Diceros bicornis minor: one gene and its partners. The protein of the gene in region 3 interacts with the protein of the main gene of each other region in a pairwise test. Links are inferred from orthologs where the notes say so. Each region holds a gene or a part of one and is shown on either strand. Other genes may lie near its edges.

Region 1 (7,417 bases), on a different chromosome or scaffold from region 3:
TAACATCGGATGCCAATCCTCCTCTTTTTTGCTGAGGAAGACTGGCCCTGGGCTAACATCCGTGCCCATCTTCCTCTACTTTATATGGGACGCCAGCACAGCATGGCTTAACAAGCGTTGTGTCAGTGTGCGCCTGGGATCCGAACCAGCGAACCCTGGGCCGCTGCAGCGGAGTGCGCGCACTTAACCGATTGTGCCACGGGGCCGGCCCCTATGCATTACTTTTTCTCCTTTTTTTTTTTTTTCTTTTTTTTTTTGTGAGGAAGATCAGCCCTGAGCTAACATCTGTGACAATCCTCCTCTTTTTGCTGAGGAAGACTGGCCCTGAGCTAACATCCATGCCCATCTTCCTCAGCTTTATGTGGGATGCCGCCACAGCGTGGTCTGACAAGCAGTGCATCCGTGTGCACCCCGGATCGGAACCCGGGCCGCCAGCAGCAGAGCGCACGCACTTAACTGCTATGCCATGGGGCCCGCCCTATGCATTACTTGTTAAGATGATTGATATATATATATATATTTTAAAGATTTTATTTATTTATTTTCCCCCCCAAAGCCCCAGTAGATAGTTGTATGTCATAGCTGCACATCCTTCTAGTTGCTGTATGTGGGACGTGGCCTCAGCATGGCCGGAGAAGCGGCACGTCAGTGCGTGCCCGGGATCCGAACCCGGGCCGCCAGCAGCAGAGCGTGTGCACCCAACCACTAAGCCACGGGGCCGGCCCAGATGATTGATATTTAATAAACAAATGGATCTTGGTGCCAAGATGCACAGGTCTTACAGATTGGCTCACTAAACACTTATTCCTAATCACCTTCTCTTTTGCCTTCCTTTACTATAGAGGGTAGAAGAGAAAATGCTAAAATATCCAGGCTCCCTTGCAGCTAGAGATGGCCATATGATACAGTTTTGCTCAAGGAGATGTAGGTGAAAATATGCTGTGAGATCTCTTCCTGCATAAAAAGAAAAAAACCACAAGAAGAGAAAGCCTTTTGTCTTAGCCCTTTTGCTATCTTCCTGATTGAAAACAAGATAATTTGAGGATAATTTAATTAAGAGACTACAAAGGTATGGGCAGGGTGTAGGGAAACCACAAAGGGTAGAGTAGTACCCTGGGGAAGGATCAGAGAGGCTGTTACCACTATAGGTCTGAAGGGTGAGGGGAGGAAGTTACTGGAAACAGAACAAGAGAGCTGTGCGTGTGGGAGGGAGTACCTTGAGAGGTGTTGTGACCTTCAGTGGGGGACACAGATATGCTCCTCCCTCCATCTAATCTTCTGCGAATGCTCCCCTTTGGCTGAACCCCACTGGGATCCAGAGAGCAAGGTCTGCCTCCTGGACACAAATCTGGGTGGAAAAGAGTAGAGAGTTAATCTGGAAAGACAAACGGCATAAAAGGCATATCTTATTTATCTTTATATCCCTAGTGTGCAACACATAGTAAGAGTGCCTAGCACAAAGTAGAAGATGAATAAATTTTGATTGAATTTAATTTAATACAGTTCTTTGTTCTATCTTGCAGTGCTTTAAGACATAATCTGGAATCACCACCAACCTTTCTCAGGCCCAAAAATCCAACATAAAATTGCTAGTCTGCAAGGAAATTTCCTTTACCCAGTAGAAAAGGTATTTGGGTCCCTTTCCGAGGCCAGATTAAGAAGTGGCTCTTTGAAACAACTTTTGTAGATCTGGACATTTTGTGTGTGTGTGTGTGTGTGTGTGTGTGTGTGTGTGTGTGTGTGAGAGCAAGATTAGCCATTGCCAATCTTCCTCTTTTTGCTTGAGGAAGATTGTCTCTGAGCTAACATCTGTGCCAATGTTCCTCTATCTTTTGTATGTGGGTTGCTGCCACAGCATGGCTTGATGAGTGGTATAGGTCTGGGCCTGGGATCCAAACCCACCAACCCCAGGCTGCCAAAGCAGAGCACATGAACTTAATCGCTACTCACTGGGTGGGCTGCACATCTGGACTTTTTAAAGCATTAGGTGGTTCTATAGTTTTACAAAGCCTGTCCTCCAGGACAATGTAACTCCTACATGCCCACTTCATCAGGACCTTCCAGAAGAAATAACTTCTGTGTGCTACCTGTATGACTAAGTCTTTTTCCATATCTATAAGATAAGGGTGATAATGGCTACCCATCATTCAAGTCTCAGGCACAAATGTCACCTCCTCAGGCTTTCTAGGATATCATACAAAAAAAGAGGAGTACCACATCCCAAGTTAAGCTCTAGCCCATGAAGATTTTGTGTTTCTTTTTCCCCATTGCAGTTATTACTTTTTAAATGTAACTTATTTATTGTTTACTTGTAGATTGTTGGTCTTCTCTCAAAAGAATACTTGCTTTTTGTGGGCAAAGACCTTGTCTGTGTTGTTTGCTGCTCTATTCCCAGCACCTAGAAGGGTACCTGGAACATGACGGTTGTTTGAAAAATATTTGGGGGCCGGCCCCGTGGCTTAGCGGTTAAGTGCGCATCCTCCGCTACTGGCGGCCCGGGGTTCGGATCCCTGGTGCGCACCGAGGCACCGCTTCTCCGGCCATGCTGAGGCCATGTCCCACATACAGCAACTAGAAGGACGTGCAACTATGACATACAACTATCTACTGAGGCTTTGGGGGTCGGGGGGAAGGAGGAGGATTGGCAATAGATGTTAGCTCAGAGCCGGTCTTCCTCAGCGAAAAGAGGAGGATTAGCATGGATGTTAGCTCAGGGCTGATCTTCCTCACAAAAAAAGAAAAAAAAAAGAAAAATATTTGTTGATGAATGAATGAATAATACCAATCATCAACCTTAGGGCTGGTGTGAATATTAGACGAGATAACAATGACACGCACCTGGCACATAGTAGAACTATATAAATCTAGGTGTTTTCTTTCCTCCTTTTCCCTCCCTCACCTCCTATAGCCAATCCTTCAGCAGGTCAGATTGACCTCAGCGTCAAAACATATCCTGAATTCTCTACTTCGTTCATTGCTAACGCTCTAGTCAAGCCACTCTCACCTCTCACTTGGACTACAAGTAACAGTCTCCTAGCTGATCTCCCTGCTTCCCCTCTTGCTTCTGTTCCCCTCAAACCCCAATCCATTCTCCACAGCCAGGGAGATCTTTTGGAAACACAATTCAGATCATATCATGCCCCAACTTAAACATCGTAAACAGCTTTCTAGGTACTTAGAATTAGCCCAAACTCCTTTACATGGCCTGGTCCCTGCCATCCTCTCAGACTTCATCTGTTTTAGGCTAATTGGCCTTTCTCTCTCTCTCCTGGAATTTAACAAATTTATTTCCATCTTAGCGCCATAGCATTCATGGATTCTTCTGCTGAAATCTTCTAGCTAGCTGGCTCCTTATTGTCCTTTGGACCTCAGTTTAAATGGGGCTTCCTTTGGGAGAAAGTACCGTTAATCTAAAGTGGTTATTTCTTTTTTTTTTTAATTTTATTTATTTATTTATTTTCCCCCCAAAGCCCCGGTAGATAGTTGTATGTCAGGCTGCACATCCTTCTAGTTGCTGTATGCGAGACACGGCCTCAGCATGGCCCCAGAAGCTGTGCGTCGGTCCGCGCCGGGGTTGGAACCCAGGCCGCCGCCAGCAGCGGAGAGCGCGCACTTAAACGCTAAGCCACGGGGCCAGACCTAAAGTGGTTATTTCTTATCACACCGCCTTTTCTAGCACTTAATATTAGCTAGTATTTCCTTGTTTATATGTTTGTTTCTTCCCAACTAGGTTTTAAGTTTCGTGAGCACAGAGACCTTGTCTGTCATGTTCATCGCTCTATCCCCAAAGCTAGAGCAACGCCTGGAACATACAGTATATGCTTAATAAATATTTGTTGAATAAATGACTGCATTGATTATGATGATGATGACAACGAAACCTCAGACGACATGGCCACAAATTCTAACAATTTTCCCAAAAATAAGAATTGCAGTTCCGAAACTGGATCCCGGAAGACTGTGGAAACCTGACAATAAAAGATCTGAGGCTGAAGGCTGGGGCAAGCAAAGGGAATATGCTGGAACTTTGGCCTCTTTTTTCCTATCCAAGGACCCCAGAGACCTTGCAAAACGGAGGCCTAGAATCAGAAATTCCAGCCCAGCCAGTAGGGGTATTTTCCATCCAGATTGTTCGCAGCCACTTTTGCTAGGTTGCAAATGCGCAAACACCTCTAGGACCCCGGGTTCCTTTCTGTTTCTTTATGAATGAACCGGCTCTAGTCTACGCATGCGCAGCTCCTGGTTCTCCCGCTCCACGTGAGGCCCACCCTTCCCTCCTGCTGCCAGCCCCGCCCTTACCCTTTCTCATGGACCAATGGCGAGCGGCCTGGGGGGCGGAGCCCGGAGCGGCGCGGCACTGTAGTTCCCCCGGCGCCCGGCTCCCTCGCGTTAGTCTTGCTGTGTTGTGATCACGTGGCCAGCTCCGGGCGCGGCGCTTGTTTTGGTTTCCCTCTAGCTTGCCCCTGGCAGCTTAGGGGTTAGCGACTTTCCTGTGCCGGTTTGCGCGCCTGCATACACTCTGACCTCCTCTTCTTAGGGCTTTCTCAGCCCGCAGTTCTGTAAGCCCCTCGGGGCCGGCTCCTGCCATGCCGCTAGTTCGTTACAGGAAGGTGGTCATCCTCGGATACCGCTCTGTAGGTGAGTCTCCGCCTTGGGGAGAGCACGGACGCACCGCGGCTTTGTGGCCAGAGGAGGCGCGCTGCCGCGGGAACGTGACCCAGGGAGGAATGGAGGCATCGTTAGAACGGGAGTGTAGAGCGAGGGTTGAGAGGATGGAGGAGGAAAGGCTGGGGTGGTGGTAGTGTGTGGAGAGCTGCAGGAAGCCGGAGCATGTAAGGGTTAATGTGGGCTTGGCTGCAGGAACATCAGAGTGGTCCCCAGAGTTACTCTGGGGGGTGGGGATGGGATCAGGATTTGATGATGGGGGCGCGGTCTGTGTGCGTGTCTGGGTGAGGGGACAGACTTGATCCTAGGGAATTCCGGATCTTCCCGGGGTGGGGTGGGGTGGGGAAAGGCGGCAGGAAAGCTTTCCTGCGGCGCTATTGAATGCATCCGGTGGCCAAGGTGCACAGATCCAGGGCGAAAAGAGGGTGAGGGAGGCTAAGGGAAAGCATTGCATGGGGCACTCACAGGCTAGGGTGCTAATTTGGGGTCCTCTTTAGTCCTGGGCCACAGCCCGAAAGGACAGAGGTTGTGAATGTGGATGGTTGATTTGGATACAACTACCACTGCTTCCCACAGGGAAGACATCTTTGGCACATCAGTTTGTGGAGGGCGAGTTCCTGGAAGGCTATGATCCTACAGTGGAGAATAGTGAGTAGAATTCTTTCCTAGGGGTGGGGCAGGGAGGGCTTGGGTGCCCCACTCAACTCCATAAATTCGGGATTTTCTTGGTGCCAAGGGGTTGATTTAATTAGACATTAAATCGAATCTCTTCTCTAGCAGTCCTGTTCTATGAGTGGAGCTAGAGTGTGGACTTTGCAAGATACTGAGTCCAGGATGGTGTAGATGTAGACAATAAGAACCCTAACATTGTCTCTCCAGTTTCCTGGAAAGCTGTCTGGACCTGGTCCATCTGTGTCACCCCCAGGGTTAAGAAAGTATGGGGCACACATCACTAGCCCTACAAGGCACCTCAGTTAAGTTTTCTTTTCTTTTCAGCTTACAGCAAGATACTGACTCTTGGCAAAGATGAGTTTCACCTACATCTGGTGGACACAGCAGGGCAGGTACCAGTTTGGGGTAGGGTATCTAAATGTGGCAGTTCAGTCCTGGGAGATGAAGTCTGGTAGCCTCTGTGGCTTATCTGTAAAGTAATATTAAAAGAAAAGCATTTTAGCAGCTAGTAGTGTGCAGTGCTCATTGGAACTACTCTATAAATACTTGTGGAATAGAAGTGACTGGAGTAGGGAGTGCCCCAGGGAGGGTCCCCAGGATGCAGCCCACCACCCTTTGCTATTTGAGTGTTGTGGATCTCAGTATTGATATTTCTATTTCTTCTCAGGATGAGTACAGCATTCTGCCCTATTCACTCATCATTGGGGTCCATGGTTATGTGCTTGTATATTCTGTCACCTCTCTGCATAGGTAAGTGAGTTGTGAGTGGAGACTTGGGAGGATCTGAGGGCTGTGCCAGAATAAGGTTATAGCTCCATATCTTGTGTCTAAAGCTTCCAAGTCATTGAGAGTCTGTACCAAAAGCTACATGAAGGCCATGGGAAAACCCGGTAAGTGGCCCTGGGGGACAGAGACATAGTGTGGACATGAGGGGATGGGAGAGGGCAGAGGGGAGTATTGGTCCAAGTTAGGGAGGAGGCCGAGACATAGATCCTGTCTGGTCTGATGGAGAGTTGTCCAGCTGTGATAATGAAGGAGGTTGGGGTCCATGGGGAATGGGAGGGGATCCTATAGTAACTGCTGTTTCCTCACAGGGTTCCAGTAGTGCTAGTGGGGAACAAGGCAGATCTCTCTCCAAACAGGTATGGAAATCTCTGCAGCTCAAGGTGAAGGAAAGTGAGCTGGACTAGGAATCAGTCAGGCTCTAGTCCTGGCTCTGCCACTGGCTTGAACAAGTTCACTGCACCTCTTTTCATTTCTAACTTGAAGGTCATGACAAGATAACCCTTCTATTGCAAAAGCTATAATTTCATATTTTAAGCCTCAGTCCTAGGCTCCTTTGTTTTCCTGTATTTTCTCCTTCCCCAACCCTCCTCCCAAACCTTGGAAGTGAGATGGGTCAGAGGAAGTCTAGATTCTATAAAGATTTTGAAGAGAACATGGGGACACTGCTATCCTCCATCTTCATGTCCCAAATTTGCTTCTAGGGAGGTCAAGGCAGTTGATGGGAAGAAGCTGGCAGAGTCCTGGGGTGCGACATTTATGGAGTCATCTGCCCGAGAGAATCAGGTGCTGGGTCTGAAGATTAAGAGGGTGGTCGGGGTAGCAGTGTTTTTCTTATGGCACTGCTTGGTGGTAGGGATGGTGGGGGAGTTGGGTATTCACCTCAGAGCTGGGCGGTATTGGCAGGGAACTGACTTTTTGCCCTGAATCCCTGTCCCTTGCAGCTGACACAAGGCATCTTCACCAAAGTCATCCAGGAGATTGCCCGAGTGGAGAATTCCTATGGGCAAGAGCGCCGCTGCCGGCTCATGTGAGCCCTTGGGCATGGGGTAGCTGCCTTGACTCTGCCCCTGGCACTTGCCAGGCTCCAGTGGGGGCAGGCCCTCAGGACTTCACGGGTATGGTTGCCAGCTGTGTCCCTGGCTCTCTGGGCACACAGTGTGGTACCCTCATATTTGCACACTTTCCCCAGGCTCCAGTGGCCTGGTTGTCAATGTTTACAAAGGGGCAAGGATGTCTCATGGGCACTGGCCTCTAGCCCTCTGTTTTTGCTAAATGAGTTGTTATAATCTGCGGG
Region 2 (7,026 bases), on a different chromosome or scaffold from region 3:
GGATGTTACCAGCATGAACATAGTGACCTAGAAGAGAAGTACACAAGTGTACTCACTCTGGGTCCCAGTGATGGGGCAGCGCAACAAACTGCTAAGAAAACATGACAGCCCAAATGCTGCACACCAACCTCTAAGGCTGCCCCTGGATAAAACCAACTTCCAGATGGTCCAACACAAGCAGCCCCCTGTCTGCCACACAGCAGCCTCCTCTCTCCAGTTACATGGCCAAGGTTCCTATCTATCTACTCTACCTCAGGGCCCCACCCCGCATCAGGTCTTTCTGCCTCTCTAACCTGGAGCCAAATGCTCTCGTGAGCTAAAGGAGAGTGACGGTGGGGCACCTGCATGGTCTTCCCACTCTTCAAAGGAATGCCAGGGGCAGCAGGGTAGGGTGCAGCTGGGAAATAGAAACCAAGGCACACCCTCACCCTCCATTTTCTTGATGCCAAAGCGTCTGCCTGGTGACTTTCCACCGAGGTTTTTGGAGCTGCCACCTGTCTTCTTGGATGCATATCTGACGGCAAGAGCTTCAGCCTGAGGGGGGCTCAGCATGGCTGTAACTGCAGAGAGAACAGAAATGTTGTTCAGACAGAGAGGCTCCCAATCAGACTCTCTTTCTCTGCGTCAATGGGCCATTTGCTAAGCTGAGAGATGGCAGCGGGCAGTGGCAGGGGAGGTGAGGAAAATATGTGAGCAGAAATGCCACTTGACTGTGTTGGCGAGGGACAAGTCATTCCTTGTATTTTCCAGGGTGTAAGCACTGCATGAGACTGTGTGTGTGTGGCCAGGGGAGAAGGGGGCAGTGAAATATAAATGGGAAAAAAAAAAAGTAAACACCACGTGTCCTGCATCCTGACACATTCAGTCCTGTTGTGAGACAAACAGAAACAGAAGCCAGCAAGAGGACACCACAGAGCTGCCTGTTTCCGCCTCACTCACCACATGCCCTCAAGGCTCCATGCAATGTGGAGGGGCCAGCCCACAGGACCCAGCAACAGGACACCCAGAGAGGCTCCTACTTTGGCCCCATGCACCACTTTCTTACCCACCCACCCATCCACTGCACACCAGATACTTGTAAACAAAAAGGGCAGCATCTCTGAGGGTGGCTCCCACAGGCTCCTGGCCATCTCAGAAGGCTGGACTCTTTTTTCGGCAAGCCCATCAAGCATAGGTCCGACCAAGAAGACTGACACCGTGCCCTTGTTAATCTGACCTCTCCATACTCATTCCAAAGTGCTCAACGGCAGTTATTCTAAAAAGGAAAGTGAACTAAAATTCATACTAACCAAGATGGAAACCACTTGCTATATGACAAGTGCAGGGCTGGCAGTGCTTGCCTTCAGGTATCCAGACACAGCCATGGTTAATCAGGGCCATGCCAGGGTATTTAGAGAAGCCTTGTGGGTCTCTAGAGCCTGTAAGCTTAGAGTTCCTGAAGCCTAGGTTTCTGAAGTTTTAATGAGAACAGAGACTAGCTGGGGCAAAGGACCAGCGATAAAGACTTAGAGACAACATGTTAAATGCCCAGCACCAGGATCTACCTACCTTTACTTTTTTTTTTTTATTTTTTTATTTTTTTTGTGAGGAAGATCAGCCCTGAGCTAACATCCATGCTAAACCTCCTCTTTTTGCTGAGGAAGACCGGCTCTGAGCTAACATCTATTGCCAATCCTCCTTTTTTTTTTGCCCCCAAAACCCCAGTAGATAGTTGTACGTCATAGGTGCACATCCTTCTAGTTGCTGTATGTGGGATGCAGCCTCAGCATGGCCGGAGAAGCGGTGCATCAGTGCGTGCCCGGGATCCGAACCCGGGCCGCCAGTAGCAGAGCGCACGCTCTTAACCACTAAGCCACGGGGCCGGCCCTACCTACCTTTAAACACCTCTTTATTCATTCATTCACTCACTTATCAAGCTCAGGAACTGGGCTCTTGCTTTACCTATATCATCTCAGTCACAAATCTTTGCTCTCCACCCTACTCCCCATCCTCCTCCTCCAAGTAAATGATGTCACCACCTAAGCAGTTGCAGATTCCTTTCCTATGCTCACCTCACATATCCAGCTAACCAGCAAGCTCTGTGGATTCTACCTCCAAAACAGATCTCAGATCCATCCATTTCCCTGCAAGTTCACTGACACTACTAACATCTCGGCTAAATCATCTCTCATCCGGGCTACTATTACAGCTTCCCATCCGGTTTCCTCATTTCCACTCCTATCCCCTCTTAAATTCACGTAAGAGCAATGGTTTAATTCTCAAAATGTAAAATTCGGTCAAGTCACTCTCTTGCCCTCACTCTCTTCCAGGGCTAGGCTCCTGTCATCCTTTAGGTCTTAACTTACATGTTACCTTCTCAGAGGGCTTCCCTGACCACCCAACCCAAAGAAAGACACATACACACATTTTTACTTTCACAGCACTTGTCACAATTTACAACCATTTTATTTATGTGCTCATTTATTGGTTCATCCACTAGAAAGAACCGTCCAGGGGATAGAGACTACGTCTTCATCTTCTCTGAGATCCCCAACACCTACCACAGTGTTTGGCACAAAGAGCTCAATCCGTTGAACGATCGGATTCACTTTTTGAGCTCCAATGTGCCAATGTTAGTACCCCATTTTTATAGATGAAGGGATCCAAACAAACTCAGAGAGAGGAAGCAGAGTGCCCATGTCACCAACTGCCAAGAAAGCTGTACTTGCATGCCAGGCAGGGGAGGAACACGTGCTCCTCGAACCACCACCACCCACACGGCTCGGCGCCCTAGATGTGTCACATGATCAGAGACAGCCACCCCTCAAACCTCGCGGGCCCCACACACTCCCCCGTCCGCACCCAGGGTCCTCCGGAGGAACCGGCCTCCACCCCGCGGCTCCCTGCAAGGTGTCCACTCCGCCTCCAGCCCTCGCCCCGCAATGACCACGGCGTCCCGTTACCAGCTGTTCTCGTCCTCAGCGCCAGCACCGCCAACGCCATGTTTGCCGTACACTCGCTTCCGGTCTCAGAAATCTACTTCCGCTACCGGGCGATATACTTCCGGGGCGTGCGAGACAGTTGAAAGAGTGGCGCGAGAAGTCGCAGGTGAGCGTAGCGGCTGCTGGCGCGGCGGGCGGGCGGGGCAGGGCTTCCCTCTTGATCCCTGTTCCGCAGAGGCTTGGTGGCCAGGGCGTCCTGGACCGCGGAGTGTGGAGGAACTGCCCCGCCCTGGGGCCGGGGTGAGAGGCGCGGAGCGTGCCCGGCAGGAGCCGGCTTGGCCGATCCCTCGTTTTGCGGGAGTCAGGGAGACAGGGATAAGGTCCCTCCCTAGTCATTCTGCTTACTTTACTGAGCGCCTACCCTGTGCCAGATACTGTACTAAGCCTTGCAGATGCATGATTTCATTTATTTCTCACAACCTTCTAAAGTAGGTATTGTTGTTATTCCTATTTTACTAGAGAAGAAAGCCCAGAAAGGTTACATTGCTCATCCCGTGTCACACCTACAGCACTGGTAAATATTTGTTCGAGGAATGTCTTTTGTATATAATCCAGCAACTGCACTCCTAGGTATATATGCAAGAAAGTTGAAAATACGTCCCCACAAAAACTTGGACGTGAACGTTCACAGCAGCATTATTCATAATGGCCAAAAAAATGGAAACAAACCAAATATCTATCAAGTAATTAATGGATAAACAAAATGTGGCATATCTATACAGTGGAATATTATTCAGCCGGAAAAATTGAAGTACTGACATGCTACAACATAAATTAACCTTGAAAACATAATGCTAAGTGAAAGAAGACAGTCACAAAAGACCACGTAGTGTATGATTCCGTTTATATGAAATATCCAGACTAGGCAAATCCTTAGAAATAGAAGTAGATTTGTGGTTGCCAGGGGCTAGGGGAGGGGGAAATGGACAGTGACTGCTTAATGGCTATGGCATTTCTTTTTAGGGTGATGAAAACGTTCTGGAATTAGTAGTAGTGATGGTTGTACAACTTTGTGAATATACCAAAAACCACCCATTGAACTGTACATTTTAAAAGGATGAATTTTGTGGTATGTGAGTTATATCTCAATTTTTTAAAAAAGGATGACTTGGCATCTCCAGTTCAAATGCAGAGATCAACAAGGAGGTGCTGTTGAGTCTTGTTACTACCCCATTAAAATTTTGTAATAGTAACTTCCACTTTGCTTATACCTCACCTTGGCCTAGAAAGGATTTGAAGAGGGTTCCTGTTAGGCTACAGACGTAACTGTTCTGAGTCCCAGAATGAACGTGTTGGGACCCTCTCCTATTTCTCTGTTTCTCTATTTCTCTATATATTGTATTTATTTCCATAAAGCTAGGCCATAGAACACCTCTAGTAGACTGAATTGATTGAGTCTCTGTCTCCTCTCTCTTTTCCTTTTAGGGAATTAATTTGATAGCACGTATTGATGGCTCTCAAGAAGTCATCACTCTCACTGGAATCCAGTGAGAGTGACTCTGAGGAGTTGCCAACATTTGCCTTTCTAAAGAAGGAACCATCTTCAGCAAAGAGAAGACACCCTCAGAGGGAGGAGAAGGTTATAGTGGTTGACACTTCAGATTCTGAGGCTTCCTGTCCTTCATCACCACGGTTGAAAGATCCACCACCTGTTCCGGACACGGCCGCAACGGTCATACAAACCGAGCCAGTCAGGGTGCTAAGCAGTGGAAGTGAAGATGAGGAGGAATTTGTTCCCCTGGCTGAGAGGCTAACATGTAAGTTTTTGACCCACAAGCAGCTGAGCCCCGAGGACTCTAGCTCCCCAGTTGAAAGTATTGTGGATCATCAAAATTATGAAGGAGCATTATGTGACTGGAAAAAACAGCCCTTTCCAAAGATCCGTGATGTTCCCCTCTGTGACACCTCAGAGAGGCGTGCATTAAATAACAAAGACCTTTTGGTAGACAATCCATGCCATCAGCTTCCAGCCTACCAAGGTACCTGCCCTGTCCAGAGCAACAGCTGGACAGTAATCAAAACGAATGCTGAGGACGCCCTGCCTCAGAAGAGAACCAAGCGTAGTCAGAAGGTCCGGAAGAAAGGCTCACAGGGATGCCAGCAGCGGGGACAAGCAAGCCAGAAGGAAAGCACCCTGAGACAACAGGAAAGGAAGAAGAAGGCAGCACTGGTTAATGGGCTGAAAGCTCAGAGGCCAGAGGAATGCTTAAAGCACATCGTTGTGGTGCTGGATCCAGGTCCTCATAGCATCCGTCTTCACCCTATGCTGAGTTAACTGCCTTCTGGGCCACCCACTGACAGCCCCTTTCCCATCTGTTGCAGTGCTGTTACAGATGGGAGGTGGGGGCCAGCTCCTCGGAGCACTGCAGTCCATGGAATGCTGCTGTGTGATTGAGGCACAGGCCGTGCCTCACAGCATCACCTGGAGGAGGAGGGCTGGGCCAGCCGAGGTAGGGGTTTTCTGGCTGATCTCTCTCCTCCCCTTTAGAGTTACAGGATAAATATGCTTTTATTCTAAAGGATATCTATCAGTCAAGGCCCCAGCAGGAAAACAGATGGCACACTCAATTTAGGATAATTTGAGGAGGATTTAATAAAGGGAGTGTTTTCTAAGGCGTGGGCAGGGTACAAGGAAACTACAAGGGGCAGCTCAGTACCTCACGGTAATAACAGCATTAACCAGTTTCTGCACCTCAGGTACTGTTTGCATTTCAGATCAGATAATCGTGTTGTGCTGGGCTATCCTGTGCATTGTAGAATGCTTAGGTGGCATCCCTGGCATCTGTCCAGTAGATGCCAGTAGCACCCCTCCCCATCGTGACAATGGAAAATGTCTCCAGATATTGCCAGATGTCTGTTGTAGGGAAAAATCGCCCCTGGTTGAGAACCACTGGCATAGCTGTTTCCATGCCTAGGCCTGAAGGGATGAGAGGAGGAAGTGTTTACAAAAATCGGGAAGGAGAGAGAAATGTAAAGAGAACCCACCTGAGAGAAGTTTGACCTCCAGTAGAGGAGTGTAGGCAAACCTAGGTGACCCCATTGGGAGGGAGCCAGGGAAAGCCATACCCTGACTTCACTCCTCCCTCCTTCCTATCTCCTGCTGGGTTCCCACTGGCCATACCCAGCCAGAGGGCGTGCACCCCTTGCGATGTGGTCTGTAGAGATCACCCTCCTCCAGCAGACAACAGAGTAGGGAAGGGTGGAGAGTGGATCTGTGGGCAGAGGGAAGATAATCTGCACAGGAGTCCTAGTTCTCTAACTGGGCTTTGGGAAAGGGCGGGCTCGTGTCTGAATCCCAGTCTCATGGCTTTATTGCTATGACCCTGGGCAAATTATTTCTTTGTGCCTCATGTAAAAAATGAGGACACGGTTAGTCCCTCTCAGTCCCCTCTGTTGTGGAGACTAAATGAGATAACCACGCACTGAGCATGTAGTAGGCGCACGGTAAATGTTCCTTCCCTGTCCCGGCTCCCCGGGTTACTACAGCTCTTGTGCCTTCCACTCCTCTTATCTGTGAATCCAAAATACTCCACCCCTCATTTTCAAGAGTCTAGTGATGAAACATTAAGATTTTTTTCCTGTCTTGTTTGGATCTCATAATTTTCTCAGTAATTTAGGGCAATTACACACTTTTTAATTTGGGGTATTAGCAAACCTTTATATTCACAAAGCAGTTTATCCTTTCAAGGCACTTCCACACTTTCTCTTTTTTTCTGCCTCCCTGCCTCCCTTCCTTGAGGAAGATCAGCCCTGAGCTAACATCCAGTGCCAATCTTCCTCGTTTTGCTGAGGAAGACTGGCCCTGAGCTAACATCTGTGCCAATCTGCCTCCTCTTTATGTGGGACGTGGCCTCAGCATGGCCTGACAAGCGGTGCGTTGGCGCGCGCCTGGGATCCGAACCTGGGCCACCAGCGGAGCGTGCGCACTTAACCGCTAAGCCACGGGGCGGGCCCCCACTCTCTCTCTTTTTTTTTTTAATATAATTTTATTTATTTATTTTTTCCCCCAGAGCCCCAGCGGATAGTTGTATGTCATAGCTGCACA
Region 3 (7,314 bases):
CTGGGGTCTTCAGTGCAGGGACTTCTGGGGGTGGCGGCTATGCTGTAAGGTGGAGGGTACCCCTCCTTCTCAGTCCGCTCCCTGCCACTCAGGCCCGGGGTTTCCTCTGGCCCAACATCTAAGGATTGCCTGGGCTGTCAGCCACTGGGCAGCAGGGGGCCGCACAGGTGGAGTGTGGCCATGTGTCCATCCAGGAGTGCCCTGGGCCTTTTCCTTCCTTCCTGGCTTGGCTCAAAGCAGCCGCCACCTTCCCAGGCCCAGGCTAGCCCTGGGTCCGCCCCCTGGGAGGCAGTCACCACTCTGGGACAGGGGCACCCCAAATAGGGTATGGGCGTGGCTTGTTTCCTTCCCAGAATCCCCTAGTCCCCCTAGTCTGTCCAGCTGGGCTCTAGTGAGGACAGAGTGAAGGGCACTATCAAGGCCCACCTGTCTCTGCCCATCCCCCGCCCCTCCCCCTATCCCTGGCAAGGCTGGGGGACTGGAGGGAGCCAGTCTTGTATTCCTTCATGGCTGGTGGTGGGGTGAGGGGAGACTGCTCAGTCTGCCAGATGGCTCCCAGCCCCTGCCCCCACCAACACACACACACACACACACTCCTACACCTGACTTAGACACACACATTTGGCACCTCCTAGAGCTCAGACTAGTGGGATAAATGGCTGTGGGCATGTGGTGTGTAGACGCTCAAGCTGGTAAATATAAAGCTGGGCGATCTTGGGCAAATCACTTAAGCTCTCTGAGCCTATTTTCCCATCTAATACTACCTCCTAAGGTAGTTGTCAGGCTTAAATGAGATAATACTTGGAAAGCGCTTGGCAGATAGTAAGTTGTCAGTAAATAGTAGCTATTAGTGTTTTTACTATCAGCCCCTCATTCATATTGGGGTCAGACAACAGTTTCTCAGCCAGGCCTGGGTCAGGGAGCTGCCCTGGCATTTGACATGGACATTCTCAGTGTAGGCCCAGGGAGAGAACAAAGAGGGAACCCCCTAGTTCTGCTGGGGGTACTGAAGAGGCCCAGGCCATGGGGTTCGCTGAGACCAGATGGGCCAGCCTGACTTCAGTGAGCATAACTGTGAGGCCCCTCACACAGGTACACAGGTGTACACACCTGCATGCTGCTTTGCCTCTCAGAAAGTGCATTCCCACCCACCGTCTCATCAGATCTCACAAAAGGCCGGCAGGACAGTATATTATCTCCATTGTACAGCTGAGCACAGAAGCTAGGGACAGGGCAGGGGCATGCCCAAGGTCACGCAGATATCAGAGAGCCCAGGTCCCCTGCTTCCCAGCCTGGAGTCCTTTCCTGTCTCTCTTTCCCTAGAAATGCTGCAGTGGTGGTGGAGGGGGTGGTCACCATTTAAGAGCAGGGGGAAAGGAGATGTTGGGTGACATCACTAGCACAGGAGCCTGGCTCTTCTCCCCAGCTGCCAGCCCTGCGATTGGAAGACACCCAGAAGCCTTTCCAATTACCCATGCCAACTGCTCAACCCTTTTGCCCCCCTCCACTTCCCACTGTCCAGGAGGACCCTGGCCAGGCCCCACAGCTGTGAGTCAGGATCAGAACAGACCCCTCCCCCAGGTCCCAGGAGTCGACAGGAGACTTCAGGGGAGAAATCCAAATCCCCCCCCCCATCCCCTGCCACCAGGCACCAACCCCAAACTCTCCACTCTCCCCTCCCCTCCCCCCATGGGGCCTGGGATTTGGAGCAGTTTAGGGGAAGGGGGATGGGAAGCAGGATCCAGCAGCTGCTCTGGGGACAGGAGAGGAACAGTTCATTCACCCCAGGTCTCCCAGGGCTGAAGCAGCACGTCCAAGATTTGAGTTTAAAAATAAGTTGGGGTTGTCTTGGTACACACGTGGGGCTCCTCCTTGACTGCAATCTTACTGTCTCAGGTCCTCTCCTCATGGGGACTCAGTGGGCCCAGAGTTTCCGTTTCCCCACATCCTTGCCTCCACAGCCCTCATCTCAGGGTCTGTCTTGGAAGCTGTCAGTGCGCCTCCATTAACCTCTGTCTTTTGAGTCTAGCTCTGGTCCTCAGCACGTCTCTGTATCCTGCACACTTCAGCAGATGTCTCTACGCTGTGGGTGTCTCTGTACCTCTGACTGGCTATCTCCCAACAGCCCACCTCTGGATTTCTACCTCTGAACACCCAAGTCTGCCTCTCAGTGTCTCTATGGGGCGGAATGTCTTGGTCCCCACCCCACCCCCCTTCTCTACCACTCAACAGCATCTCTATGCCCGAGAGTCTGTCTCCAGTCTCTGAATGTCTCCAAAGGCCTCACAGAGCCTGATTCACCACGAGGCTAAGGAAGCTTAGGCTTCAGGGCCCCTCACTTGCCCAGGACCCTCGAAGGCCCTGGGAAGCATCCTAGGACGTGTTCACTGGCGTCACTGTATGCTTTTTCTTAAAATGCTCCACAAAACCTGGGTCCGTCCCTATGCCTCGGTCTGTCTCTTGGGGAGTGTACGGCCAAGTTTCTGTCCCCGTTTTCGGGTATCTCTGCAGCTACCACTCGAAGCCTGTCGTCCCTTCTTTCCCTGTCTCGGGTTCTCGCTCCTCTGGGCTTTCTGGGAGCCTCAGTTTCTCGAACCCTCCCAGACTCTCTCTCGACTCTGGCTTTTCCATTTCAAACTTGGCCCCCTCCTCCGCCCCACTCTCGAAGCAGCCCCCGCCCCGCCGGGCGACGGGCAGCGGTGCGGTCCGGGGGGCGCCCTCTGGGGCTCAGCGTGATCCCGGCGCCCGCGGCCGGCCCCGGGCGGGGGGCAGCGGGCGGGGGCCGCCGCCACTCCCTCCCCGGCCCGAGGGCGGGGGCCGGGCGCTGGGATTCGGAGCCGGGGTCGGCGGGGAGCTCACCTCGACGCGGGCGGCAGGAGCGGGGCGAGGCGCTCGCGCGGGTGGGGCGGGGACCCCGGGGCCGCGTCCCTGGGCGGCTCCTACCTGCGGGCCGGGCCAAGCGGGGGCCGGACGAGCTGCCGGCGAGGCTGCAGGCTGCACACGGACTGTGTGGGCGACTGGGAGCCCGGCCCCAACCCCTCCCCGAGGAAGTGAGCGCGGGAGCCCGCCCCGCCCGGACCCCGCCCCCGGCCGCCCCTGCCCTCAGGGTGCGGACCCCGCCCCCGGCCCCCCATCCCGGAGGCCGGGGGCCAGCCCCCGCCCCCACCTCCCGTTTAGACTGGAGCCCGCCCCAGCCTCCCCGCTCCAGCCCAGCCTAACCTGGCTCTCCCAACCTTCCTGGGCGGCCAGGACCCCGCCCCTGTTCCCTCCCTGCAGCTTTTGCCGTCCTCTCTCCCTCCCCTCTCCCCCTTCCCCCCACAGCTGCAAGCGGGAGACTGCTGTATTCGTTTCAGGCAAGGGGTACAGGACCCAGCCGACCAAGGTCTATTTGAGAACAGAGGGTCCTCATGCCCTCTTCGTGCCCCCACCCCCCCATTCTACCCCCAGGGGTCACACTCAGCCCGAGTTTGTAAAGGAGGCCTTATCCAGCCTGGAGGAGGGGGTGGTTTTGACTCTACTGTCATGGCCCTGTCATGGGGACCAAGGTGTTCTCTGGAAACACAGAGTGAAGAGAGGACCCCTCTCCCTCCCATAGGGCCTTGACCTTCAAAGGGCTTTATTCTACAATTCTGAGTGGCAAACAGAAGTAACCACCTCCTCACCTCCAGCTGCATCCTTGGACAGAGAAGTCCTGCCTCATTTCCACTGTGCCCAGGAATAGTTTTGACCTTTAAGGCCCAGGGGACACCCTAATCCTTGGCCCCATGATTTTTGGGCTTCTTAGGGAGGGGTGTGAGGAGTGTGTGTGTGTATGGATGGGGTGTTGCAGGGGTGGTGGAGGGAAGTGGAGGGAACCCCTCCTCCCCCACCTCTACATTTTCCAACCCTCTGGCTTCCTCCCCGTGCCTGGGAGGGAGGACTGGCGCCTGCCAGGGACACAGGCCCCCTCCAGGTCCTTGAGGCCAGCCCCCTTGGGATCCTCAGGCTTGTCACTAGGAATAAATAGCCTCGATCTGGAAGCGGGGGGGGGGGGGGGGGGGGGGGGGGGGTGTAGGAGGAGGCTCTACTGTGCTGTTTGCAAAACAAACTAACCCTGGAAATAACCTCTGAGTCTAGAGTAGAGATTCAGGGGCCCACAGAGGCTCTCCCATCCCCCAGACTGGGTCTAGCCACGCTCTCAGAGCAGAGTGTCAGTCCATCCCAGGCTGGAACTCCTGAGCACCCTCCTCCCATCTCTGAATCACATGCTGCCTTCCCAGGTCCAAAGTCACCCTAGAGGCCAAGTTTCCTTTCAAAGTAACTAACTGCTTGTTTATAATGGTTGTTGCAGCTCCCTAAACTGTAAGTGCCATGAGGGCAGCGACTGGGTCCTTCCTGTTCACCACCACATGTCCAGTACCTACTCCAATGTCTGGTACATAACAAATATCTGATGAATGAATGAATAGCAGGCACTACTTTAGTTTGGACCCCCACCCCCCAGTTTGGACCACAGGCACCCACTATCTGGAGTCCAGGGAGTGAGCAGCCATCCTGTGAGCTCCTAGCCCTGGGAAGCGCAGGGAAGACTCTGGTGGGAGTAGATGGCAAGAAGGGGTCCGCTCTGGGGCGAGGGGAGGGCAAAGGTGAGCAGCCTTCAGAAAGAGAGGGGTTATGAGTGAGCAAGGAAGGTGCTGGACCAAAGTAGAGTTAGGGTCTCTGGTTTTTACTCACAGCTTAAATTTGCTGAACAGCCTTAGTAAGAGCCAATTATTTCCTGAATTCTTACTTTGCACCAGTCCCTGTCTAAGCACTTTACATATATTAATGCACTTGATTATCCAATGACTTTATGAAATATGTATTTTTAATCCCCATTTTAAGGATGAGAAAATGGAGGCGCACAGAGAGTAAGTAACGGCCAAGGGTGACAGCTAATAATGGCAAAGCCTAGATTCAAATCCAGACAAACAAATGTCAAAGCTCCTTAGGCCAAAAAAAGAGCTTAACCATTATGCTCTACAGCCTCTGTAGTCAGTTCACCTCTTTAACCTTCAGTCTCCTCATCTGTTAAGAGTGGTTGACCCCTTGGGCCAGCCCTGGTGGCCTAGTGGTTAAGTTCGGCACACTCCACTTCTGCGGCCCGGGTTCGGTTCCTGGGTGTGGACTTAACACCACTCATCTGTCAGTGGCCGTGCTGTGATGGCGACCCACATACAAAAAGAGGAAGATCGGCAACAGATGTTAGCTCATGGCGAATCTTCTTTAGCAGGAAAAAAAAAAAAAAAAGAAAGAAAATAATCAAAGTGAACAGAAGTGAGGACAATTATAATTAAAAAAAAAAAAAGGGTGGTGGACTCCTGTCTCCCAGCATTCTTGTGAGGACTGATGAGAGCACACAGTAGGTATTCAACACGTGGGACTCTCCCTCCCTACCTCCCCCCTTTCAGGGTCAAGTGTTAAGCTTCTGCTATTGCACTTGGAGTCTGGAGGCCAGAGAAAGTTAGGAGAATTCTGATGTGGCCCAGCGTGGGGGAGGGAGACTGGTGTAGGGCAGGGCCTGTGTCTTTAGCTCCCCAGTGGGCTCACATTTCCCTGCTTGCTCTATTTCCGTTGACCCCAGAGGACGTGCCCCAGAGAGGTCTAGGGATCAGCCACATGGACTCCCTGTTCCTGTTCCCTGTCACTCCTCCCCCCTCTCCAGGAACAGGTGTGTCTGAGGCGGGGCTGGAAGCAAAGACTAAGTGCTGGATGACTGGCCTTGAGTAAGTGGGATCTGATTATCCCTTCACCCACCAGGAGGTCCCCATACACCCTTCCTTAGCTTGTGGTGGAAGGGGGCTTCCAACTGTTCTCTCACCTCGAAAGAGTTTTCAAAAGGAGGCCCTGGGTGACAACTCACAGGCCTCTCATGGTTTCCTCTGGGTGCTGAATCACTCTCCGATGCTTGTAACCACAAGCCCTCCTTCCTCCAGTGTGAAAACTTCCTTCCTTCTCTGGGTATATTGCTCACTCTTACCCGTTGGGCTGCCTAGAGCCCCTGCAGGCCTCATGGCTTAGCAGATTCCCACGTTCAGATTGCCCAGAAACACTTTCATCGTGATCCCAAGTCTGGCAATGAGTTTGTGGGCACAGAGGATGAAATAAGTGACTTCTACAGCATGAGTGTGGGGGGTAGAAGGAGAACTCACATGTGGTTAAATGCCAACTACATGCAGGGCACTGTGCTAAGTGCTAGTTCTTACCTCCTTTAGGCCTCACAAAAGCCATAGGAGGTGGTGGTCATTATTATCACCATTTTACAGAGTAGGACACAGGCTCAGAGAGTTTGACAATGTGGCCCCAAATCACAAGCTGATAGGTGGTTGGTGTCCAATTTAAATCCAGGGCTGACTCCAACGTTCCGCCCTCCAGTGTGCAGAGCTGCCTTCTCCTGGGTATGCCCTCACTCAATGCTTTCCTCAGGGAAAGTGGCAAGAGTGACTGGGGCTGCCACCTGGTCACCCTGCTTGATGGCTGGGCTTCTTAATCCAGATGAGGCTGGAAAGGTGGGCATGGGCCAGATCATGAAAGGTCTTATCTTTCAATGGTTAAGTGACAAATGAGATGGAATTTTGTTAATGCACGTGGCCCTAGTCGGGCTGGGCTCAGACTCAGAAGCTGGAAAAAACTTTTTTTTTTTTTAATAATTTTATTTATTTATTTTTTCCCCCAAAGCCCCAGTAGATAGCTCTATGTCATAGCTGCACATCCTTCTAGTTGCTGTATGTGGGAGCCAGCCTCACCATGGCCGGAGAAGCAGTGTGTCAGTGCGCGCCTGGGATCCGAACCCGGGCCGCCAGCAGCAGAGCGCACGCACCCAACCACTAAGCCACGGGGCCGGCCCCTGGAAAAAACTTTTTACATGGCAGATCTCAGCTACTTTTGTGCCTACTTGTCTCCTGGACTGGCACCTCTGGGGAATGAGGAGAGAATTTCCCCAGAGCTCCTCAGCTGGAGTTTTGGGCCCTATCATAGGAAATGGGTGCAACTGCAGAACTTGCTGAAGGTTAGTTTCACGTGGTGGAAAAGAAACCAAATGCCTCTGGAATGCTCTTCTGTGCTCAACCTTCTCTCTATCCTTAGAGGTAGGTTTAGTAATAAAAAAAATAATAGCTCCAATTGATTGTGAACTTGCTAAGGGGTGAACGCAGCATTAGGCACTTTAAATATATTATTTCATTTAGTCCTCACAACAATCCTGTGGGTATAGTATTATCATTACCTCCATTTTACAGATGGGGAGACCGAGGCTCAGCAAAGCTCACTGCCTTGGCTGGTAGCAGTTAGGATGGT
Region 4 (7,772 bases), on a different chromosome or scaffold from region 3:
AATGAACAGAGCCTCAGAGACAGAAAAGAATACTTGAAGAAATAATATGCAAAATATCCCCAAATTTAGTCAAAGATGCACATCAAAGGCTCTGAAATTGCCCAGCAAGTCTAGTGCTGAGGCCTATTTCTGCATGTCTTCATTAATTCTCAGGCCCCATCTATACAGGAGAGTAAGCATATCCCGAGGGGTATGGATGAGTAGAGAAGTCAAGTATGTATTTGAATAGAAAATATGTAAAATTCAATGAGTAGGGAAAGACTCAAGCCCACTACCAACTTTCTTGCTTCTTTCCTGACTTTGGGGAAGGATTCCAAATGCCTTTTCTCTTTTAGCTCCTGCTTCCCTTACTCTCTTCACTTTACCCAGGAGTCTTGTCAATAAATGAAGGAGTCTGTGCTGCCAACTCCCTGCCCTCTGCCCTTCAGCCAAAGTCATCAAGTCTGAACCCAATTCCATCTTCCCCCCTGGGCCTCCAGTTCTCCCTACCCATGGTGCCACTCACTTTAGAATAAATATCTAATACCATCTTGAAGACTCATCTCTTTCTTATGAGACTATTCACTTTGCCCATCTTTAGGAATCTGGCTTAGCTAACAAAATAATGCCCCAAACTGGGGCCCAAGTGTCTCACATAAGTGACGTGCCTAAGGGGAAGTGAGGCTTGAAGTGCAAACCTCTTATTCATTAATTGATCTCAGGTATATGAACTAAAGGCAGAACCTACGTGAGAGAATTACCAAGGGCTGCAAGAAACAGTTTCATACTAAGAAGGGCTGAAATCATGAGCATTCACCTCATGGCACCTGCTGTAAATCCCCAAGATTTACAGTCAGTAAGAGCTGTGTGCAGCTGTAATGATGCCTCGTGCTGGGATGATAACCTTTCCAGAAACCAGGTGTTTTTTGTGTCTGGGCTTAATCAGCAAACCAAGCCAAGGCCCAGGTCCCGTGACTTTTTCATTCAGCAGGTGGCAGCCCCATGTCCGATCTCAAAAATGACGCTGGGTCAGACTTTAAATAGAGAAATTGGTGGAACATTCGATAACAAGGGTTCTAAGGGCAGAGGGAGACACTCCATGCAGATACAGGGGTGTGAAGACACAGGGCTGACCCATCCTTTCCCCCAGAAGCCTCTGGTACAGCACCCAGATGATGCTTCTTTACCTTTCCCGATAGGAAATAGTTTTGTTGTATGTACACATATGGACCAGAATCTTTGCTGAGTTTATAAGGTTCAGAAACGATGGTTGGTAAAATCTTGATGTTTGTTAATTTATCTCAATAAAAGCTTACTGGAACTCAAAAAAAAAAAATGCATCCTGACTGAGACACAGTTTTGTTCTTGATCTATGAAAACTAGTGCCCAGGCAGGCACAGGGCTGAGAAATGATACAACTTAGGGGAGAGAAGAGAAGGGATGCCCTCTGCTCATTTCATCCTTTAGTTCCCTCTCTGGGGAAGGAAACAAACGAGAGAGAGAGAAGAATTTCTGCTTCATTCTCTTCATGGGTAACCTTGATCCTGTCAGTTTTTCTTTTTAAGGCCCTTATGATCATTAACAACTTGTTCTGGAAATTCTTTCCGTGTCTGCATTCCTCCACTTTGGCCACATCTTGACATGAATAATATTGCTACTCTGGCCCTGGCAGGGACAGAAGGAACTTCTGGGTCATATGTTTATTGTAAGTGACATAAGGCAGGGATAATTTAGGACAGGTCAGAGGGGAAGTTTTTGTTTTGCAAAGCACTGTCAGGAAGAGGGAGGGCATGTGGGGCTCCAGCTGGGGGCCTCAGAGTTGGGTGATGGGGCAGGGCTCCAGCTCCAGAGAGAAGATTTGCCCTCATTCTCTTAAGTTTGTGGGCAACAAACAAAGGGCACCCCTCAACATCCATCCCTCAAAGCATCCTTTTCTCTATTTCCAGGATAGGAAATATATCCCTTATATAACAACATCTGAGACTGGTTTACATCTCACAAGGTGCGCTTGATTTCCTGGAAATTGCATATAAAGAGATGGGAAGACCAGCACCAGAGGCTGAACGGGATATTTGCAGACCATTCTTCAAGATTACTCTGACTCTTTTCGACCAGTTACTTGTCTCTTGTGCATATGTGTGCAGAGGACTTTTCATTAGCATTGACCATGGTTTCTTAAAAGGAAAAGCAATGCTCAGGAATGGTGCACATCTCTTTTTGTGGTCTTTAGACTCTCAGAAACTAAGGATGCTGTTTTCTTGGCAAAACGAAGCGCAAACTTTAAGGTTCATATTGTTTAAGTCACAGGCTAAAAAACAGGTTGCATAAAATATAATTTTTTTATGAATCAGGACCCAGAAACATTGTGCTTAAACCAAATCATTTAGGATAATGGCTTATCATAAAGCGACCCCTCAATACAGATCCCTCTGCACCCCGAATCCATTGAGCCATGTGGTTCAGTCTCTGCACAGCCCTGGAGCTAAAGAAATACATTCTTCGTTCATTTTCTTCAAGGACATTCAAGGGGACCCCAATTCAAAGTCTACGGCATCATTTCCAAAAAGCTCACTCTTTCTCTATTATCAAGTTGTCTTTCACCACCACCGCCATCACCAGCCTAGATGACGTGGCGCTTATGTTCCAAAGCTCAAAACTGCTTTTTCAGCAGCAGCCCCTCTCTTTCCATCGTTTTATTAGTTTGCTTAACCTCCAACCCTTCGTTATGTAGATCAATTTAGTCTCCCCACTCCCACCAGCAAGCAAGAATCCTTTCTCTTTAAGAGGAGGTTGGGAAAAACCAACCAGGCTAATAAATACAGAATTTTCCTTTCAGAGATATAGCAAATTAACATTAAAGCATTAATAGCATATGTTGATACTGTACATTAATGCAAGACTGTACATTATTTCATTAACACTGTACATTAGTACTGTACGTTACTCCACTAGTGCTGTACGTTCATATATTCACACTACTTGCCCTCACCTCGATGTGCTCAGACCTTCCATTGGTATGGACCCTTTCTGGTACTCCAGCTTGGGCTTGAAGGACTCTCTGGGCAGATAGGAGTGATAGAGAGGGTAGTTCTCGGTGTATTCGGAGAGAAGACATGGTTTCTCTGTTTTATCGTAAATCTTGGTAGGGAGATGCGGACAGTGGTGCCGCCTACAAAAGACACATGAAGTTAGGTCGCTTACCTTCTTAGGAAGAGTACATCCAGTCTGATAATGCTACCTCCTCAAAATGTGACCCAGTCATAAAATCATGTGAATGCTGGCATTGAAAGCAGGAATTTAACCCTTCCTTTTCTCTACTAAACTATGTGAAGTAGCCAGAATTTTTTAAATGATCTATAACTGCAGTTGGTTAATTGTCAAAATTCCTTGGACCATAAAATTACACACAAGTGTGGCTGATATTCAGCTACTACACGTACCACACTGCTTCTTTAAATATTGAAATACTTCCACCCCATAATAGGAAAATGGTTGTGGCCCTGAGTTCTCTGAGTGCCAACCCAGCTGCCCCATGACCTGCCCTGAGACCTCCCCGGGCCTCCCAATTGCCCAGCAATTAAGGGCTTAATACCTGACCTAACAAGATGCTCCAAGGCTGTGTGCTGGTGTCTCTCCTCATGGTTCCTGGGTCAATTCAGAACATCAGTGCACACATAGCAGAACCACCTCAGTTCTGAGTATACTGACCACCACTGACTACGTGAAACCATTTTCACATTGAAAGTCTGGCTTATTTATTCTTTCAGGTCTCATCTGAATTGTTGCCTCCTTAGAAAGACCTCCGCTGATCACCTTATACCTACACTACACCCCACCACCCTGTCCCCTCTCTCGCGGTTTCCCTCATCACTGTGTACGCCTTCCTCATCACTCAATGTTATCTGTAATAGGCATGTTTGTTGGTAAGCTTGTTTACTGTCTGTCTCATCTATTAAGCTCAGGACCTTTTCTATCTTGCTCACAGCTACAGCCCTAGCACCTCATATCCTACGTGATACACACTAAGCTTTCAATAAACCTTTATTGAATAAATTATTGAATATATAAATGAATGATTAAATGAACCTTATGCCTCAATATGCAGGTAGATGACAGATTATAATTTGACGTTATGATTTATAGTAAGCTTGTCCATTTTGCACTCATGGTAATAAATGAACCTCATTATTCTACTATCTGGACATTATTCTACAGCTGGACAAAGGGTAGCTGTTTGAGCTCTCAAAAACTAAGTAGTATATCAATTATCTGTGTGCCCACATACCATCCTTACCAACCACTTAGGGCATCTCTAGTCATTAGATACTAGCACATCAACAAAACTCCTTGCTAGTGATTTCCAACTTGGTCATATCGAGGAATGACAAAGTTATATCAAAAATAGAATTATTTTTAAATTTTTTACACAGAATCGATTTTAATTACAGAAACTAAAATACACAGTACCGTGGGGCAGCACGTGGAGGAGGGAGAGAGAAACAGACATACAGGGAACTCATCACTGCTCAAATCTAAAGCTATTTTCCAGGCAACGATTAGCAGGCTGCTCCTGTTGTTAATAAGTTCAATCCTCTACGCAAATGTTGCAGCCAACATTTACTGTTACTGTGTACCTCTCATCAACCCCCCAACCCCCAGAGAAAATGATCAAGCCTGTATTGTTCATATGGGTTGAATTACATATAAACAAGTTCCTTTAGAAATATCTCTATTTATTTTCTTCTCATTCATAGATTTGTGTATTGGAAAAGCCTTATGATGATATAAACTTGTTACATTTATTTTTTATTTTTGTTATTGTAAAAGTACTATTGGTTCATGGGGAACATTTTAGATCTTTCTAATTATTTACAAGGAAATCTTCCATAAGTATACTGTCCTTATATTATGAATATCTGAATTTTACAGTGTTAAATACACTCAATAAAAGTTTAGTATTCTTTTTTCAAAATGCACATTGTTGGCATTTAATGTACAAAGATGAATACGTATTTATATTTTGTATCTATTTAATAAAGTATCTCCTAATCATAGGTACATACAGGCTTTCACCTGTCCACTCAAGAGATAAATTGCGGAGTTTCATAGTATACAAAATAACCATTCCCCACAGTATAAAAATGTTAGATATTATTATCATCTGTGCTCACAATCAGTCCAATTCTCTGAGATTTCAATCTGACCCAATTAGTACCCTACCATTTTAAGACTCCAACAAACCTCAAATCAAAAGCCAAGAAGTACCAAAAATACCTCCACAGAGATATTTATTCACTCACACTCTTTGAAAGAAAAGTCAAGATTTTTTTAAGAATAACTTAGATTCAGGGACTTGCAATAAAACAGACTCCACAGATATAGCAATATTTTCCTTCTCCAGGTCCCTTGTTTTTTAACCAGTAAAATGTTGCTTTTATATAACCCCCTTTCCATATTGTTACTTTTTAAAATTGTAACATCCTGTAAAGGCTTATTCCAAAAGAAAAATAAATGTGAAGGCAAAATACTACACTGTGATTGGTATCATGAGGGGATTTCAGTATAGCAACGAGCTTCCATTCAGACACTGATGTTCCATTAAATGGAATTATATTGACACATAGAGGGCAGATCTGATTTGACTTGCTGCTAGTTAACTAAAACCTTGTCTCACTTTGAAATTTCAAAAACTCTTATTTGAAAGCGAATATTTCATTGCTTGACTTTGCTCATGGGGTCACCTCTCCTTACCTGTACCCAAATACCCAGAATATTCTTCTCAAGACACCAAGCACTGTATCTTCTCCTTGTTGGTCTGCCCACCCCCTCCTTAAACAGGACTTCCTCTACGATAAAGACCAAGACTGACATCTCTGTGTTCTGGAAGCTATCCTAATGCTTATGTATTTATTTAATAGATGGATGGGCAGTCGGACAGTGTATAGGACAATGAACTGCTACAAGATATTTACAAGTCCTCCGGAAAAGGAAAACAACTGATTTGCTCAAACATCAGTAGAGCCAAAAGGGAAAAGAGACATTCTCTGTTTATATGGACCTAATCAGTGCCTAAAGAAAGTATGTGGAATCACCACGCTTGCAAGATTTAAATGTAGGCTTGACAGTCATGAACCAAAAAAATGAGACCTCTTCCAGTTCTCGGATACTTGTACTCATTTTAGGAGCTGCCTTGGCCACCTTGCTCAGCAGCACAAACAAGCCTAGATGGGGCCAATAGGTAGAGAAGGAAAAGGGGAGAGAGAAGGTTTCTTCAGTCTATCAGAACTCTCTAAAGTCATTCCACTCAGGATTTACCAAAGGACCAGAGGTAAAAAGGAAATAATCCTGACGTTTTCTGATATTTGGTAAAAGGGGTAATAGACACCTTTCAATGGAACCCAGAAAAACTCAGCAGTAGTTGACTCCAAGCCAGAATCATAGAGTTTTGCAATTGAAAGGGGCCATGGAGAATATATGACCCAACATCCCCACTACGTAGATGAAAAATCTGAAGCTCAGAGAATGAAGTACATGACCTAACCATAAACAGAACCTACATCTCTATTACATCAGAATGACGATGTGCATTTCCTGACATGCACCTCACTCAGAGCCAACTGTGACTCAAGGAACCCTAGAACAGATGACAGAACTTTAAGGATGTAACGAGCACCTCTAGAATAGCACCATCCAATAGAAATGGAATGCAAGCCATGAATGAGAGCCACATACGTCATTTTAAATTTTCTACTAGCCACATTAAAATGGTAAAAAGAAACAGGTAAAATTAATTTTAATATTTTACTTAACCCAATCTATTCAAAATATTATAACTTCAACATATAATCAATATAAAAAATTATTAATGAGATCTTTTACTTTCCCTCTACATCTTCAAAATCCAAGATGTGTTTTACACTGACAGCACGTCTGAATTAGGACTACCACATTTCAAGGGCTCAAAGGCCACATGTGGTGGTCGCTTCCCTGTTGGAAAGTGCAGGTCTAGGATTTGAAGGTACAGACAAAAGAACTGTAAGCACTCAAGTGCTAGAAAGATGCCTAGAAATATTTTTGTTGGCTAATATGGAATTTGTCCCTTGCTTGGACTCTCTGACCTGCTTTCATGTGACACAATCAGAGGCATTAAAAGACATGAACAATTAATTGAAGGAGTTTTCCATAATTCTCCTCTCTCCGCAGAGCCCAGCTTCAGTTTTATACACCTGTAACGGTCCCTGGAGTTGCTCTCTTTCCCGCCACTTTCACTTTTCCAAAATGCTTCCCTTTTTTCAAGGCCCATCTTGAAAGCCACCACTACACCACCACCACCACCCCAGGGAGCTACTGACGATCCCACTGCTCCTTGTTATGGCTGTGACTCTCCTCTAGTGTGCATGGTGTCATGTCCCTACCTCTTTTAGGATCCTTTCTCTTCTGTACTGCCTTGTACAGTCCTTAACTTATAACCTTACAGGTTAAGAATTTTCATAGTTGCCAACAAAGCTATTCATCAGAAGAAAAACATGGCAACTCTTCCTGCCACCACCAGGCAGCATGAATAGTAGCTAGTATAACACAACTTTGGGCTTTTCAAACAAATGGACTTCCAATAGTGTTTTAGAACCTAACCTATTTGTAAGGAGAACAGCATCTGTGGATTTCAGTGGCTTGTCTTGCCTCTACTGTGGTCTTTTAGAATCCCCCACTGAGCCTTGCCTGGTATCAGCAATAAAGAGGGCTCTCCTTCACTCCAGGAGGCAGAGTACATGGCAGAAAGGGACTCTGGAGGT

The links.
Region 1: the proteins of FHL3 (region 3) and RHEBL1 interact in binary tests that used the Homo sapiens proteins (3 or more experiments, as listed by UniProt). The two-hybrid records come from large-scale screens. The link is inferred for Diceros bicornis minor from reciprocal best matches to the Homo sapiens genes FHL3 and RHEBL1.
Region 2: the proteins of FHL3 (region 3) and MRPL27 interact in binary tests that used the Homo sapiens proteins (3 or more experiments, as listed by UniProt). The two-hybrid records come from large-scale screens. The link is inferred for Diceros bicornis minor from reciprocal best matches to the Homo sapiens genes FHL3 and MRPL27.
Region 4: the proteins of FHL3 (region 3) and SAXO1 interact in binary tests that used the Homo sapiens proteins (3 or more experiments, as listed by UniProt). The two-hybrid records come from large-scale screens. The link is inferred for Diceros bicornis minor from reciprocal best matches to the Homo sapiens genes FHL3 and SAXO1.

What each region holds. Positions count from the first base shown.
Region 1 is NC_080756.1:20,581,674-20,589,090, forward strand, and holds the start of RHEBL1 (GTPase RhebL1), read left to right. Parts: upstream 1-4,406; 5' UTR 4,407-4,586; coding exon 4,587-4,638; intron 4,639-5,241; coding exon 5,242-5,313; intron 5,314-5,661; coding exon 5,662-5,729; intron 5,730-6,004; coding exon 6,005-6,087; intron 6,088-6,170; coding exon 6,171-6,227; intron 6,228-6,431; coding exon 6,432-6,479; intron 6,480-6,824; coding exon 6,825-6,906; intron 6,907-7,064; coding exon 7,065-7,154; 3' UTR 7,155-7,417.
Region 2 is NC_080757.1:35,945,757-35,952,782, reverse strand, and holds the start of MRPL27 (large ribosomal subunit protein bL27m), read right to left. Parts: upstream 3,009-7,026; 5' UTR 2,983-3,008; coding exon 2,943-2,982; intron 561-2,942; coding exon 429-560; intron 28-428; coding exon 1-27. Other genes in the region: crossover junction endonuclease EME1, read left to right, coding at 4,432-5,218, 5,304-5,431.
Region 3 is NC_080752.1:51,939,260-51,946,573, forward strand, and holds the start of FHL3 (four and a half LIM domains protein 3), read right to left. Parts: upstream 3,016-7,314; 5' UTR 2,944-3,015; intron 2,937-2,943; exon of another isoform or gene 2,860-2,936; intron 1-2,859. UniProt on the Homo sapiens protein: Recruited by SOX15 to FOXK1 promoters where it acts as a transcriptional coactivator of FOXK1.
Region 4 is NC_080761.1:41,259,559-41,267,330, forward strand, and holds the start of SAXO1 (stabilizer of axonemal microtubules 1), read right to left. Parts: upstream 3,007-7,772; 5' UTR 2,992-3,006; coding exon 2,969-2,991; intron 1-2,968. UniProt on the Homo sapiens protein: May play a role in the regulation of cilium length. Stabilizes microtubules at low temperature.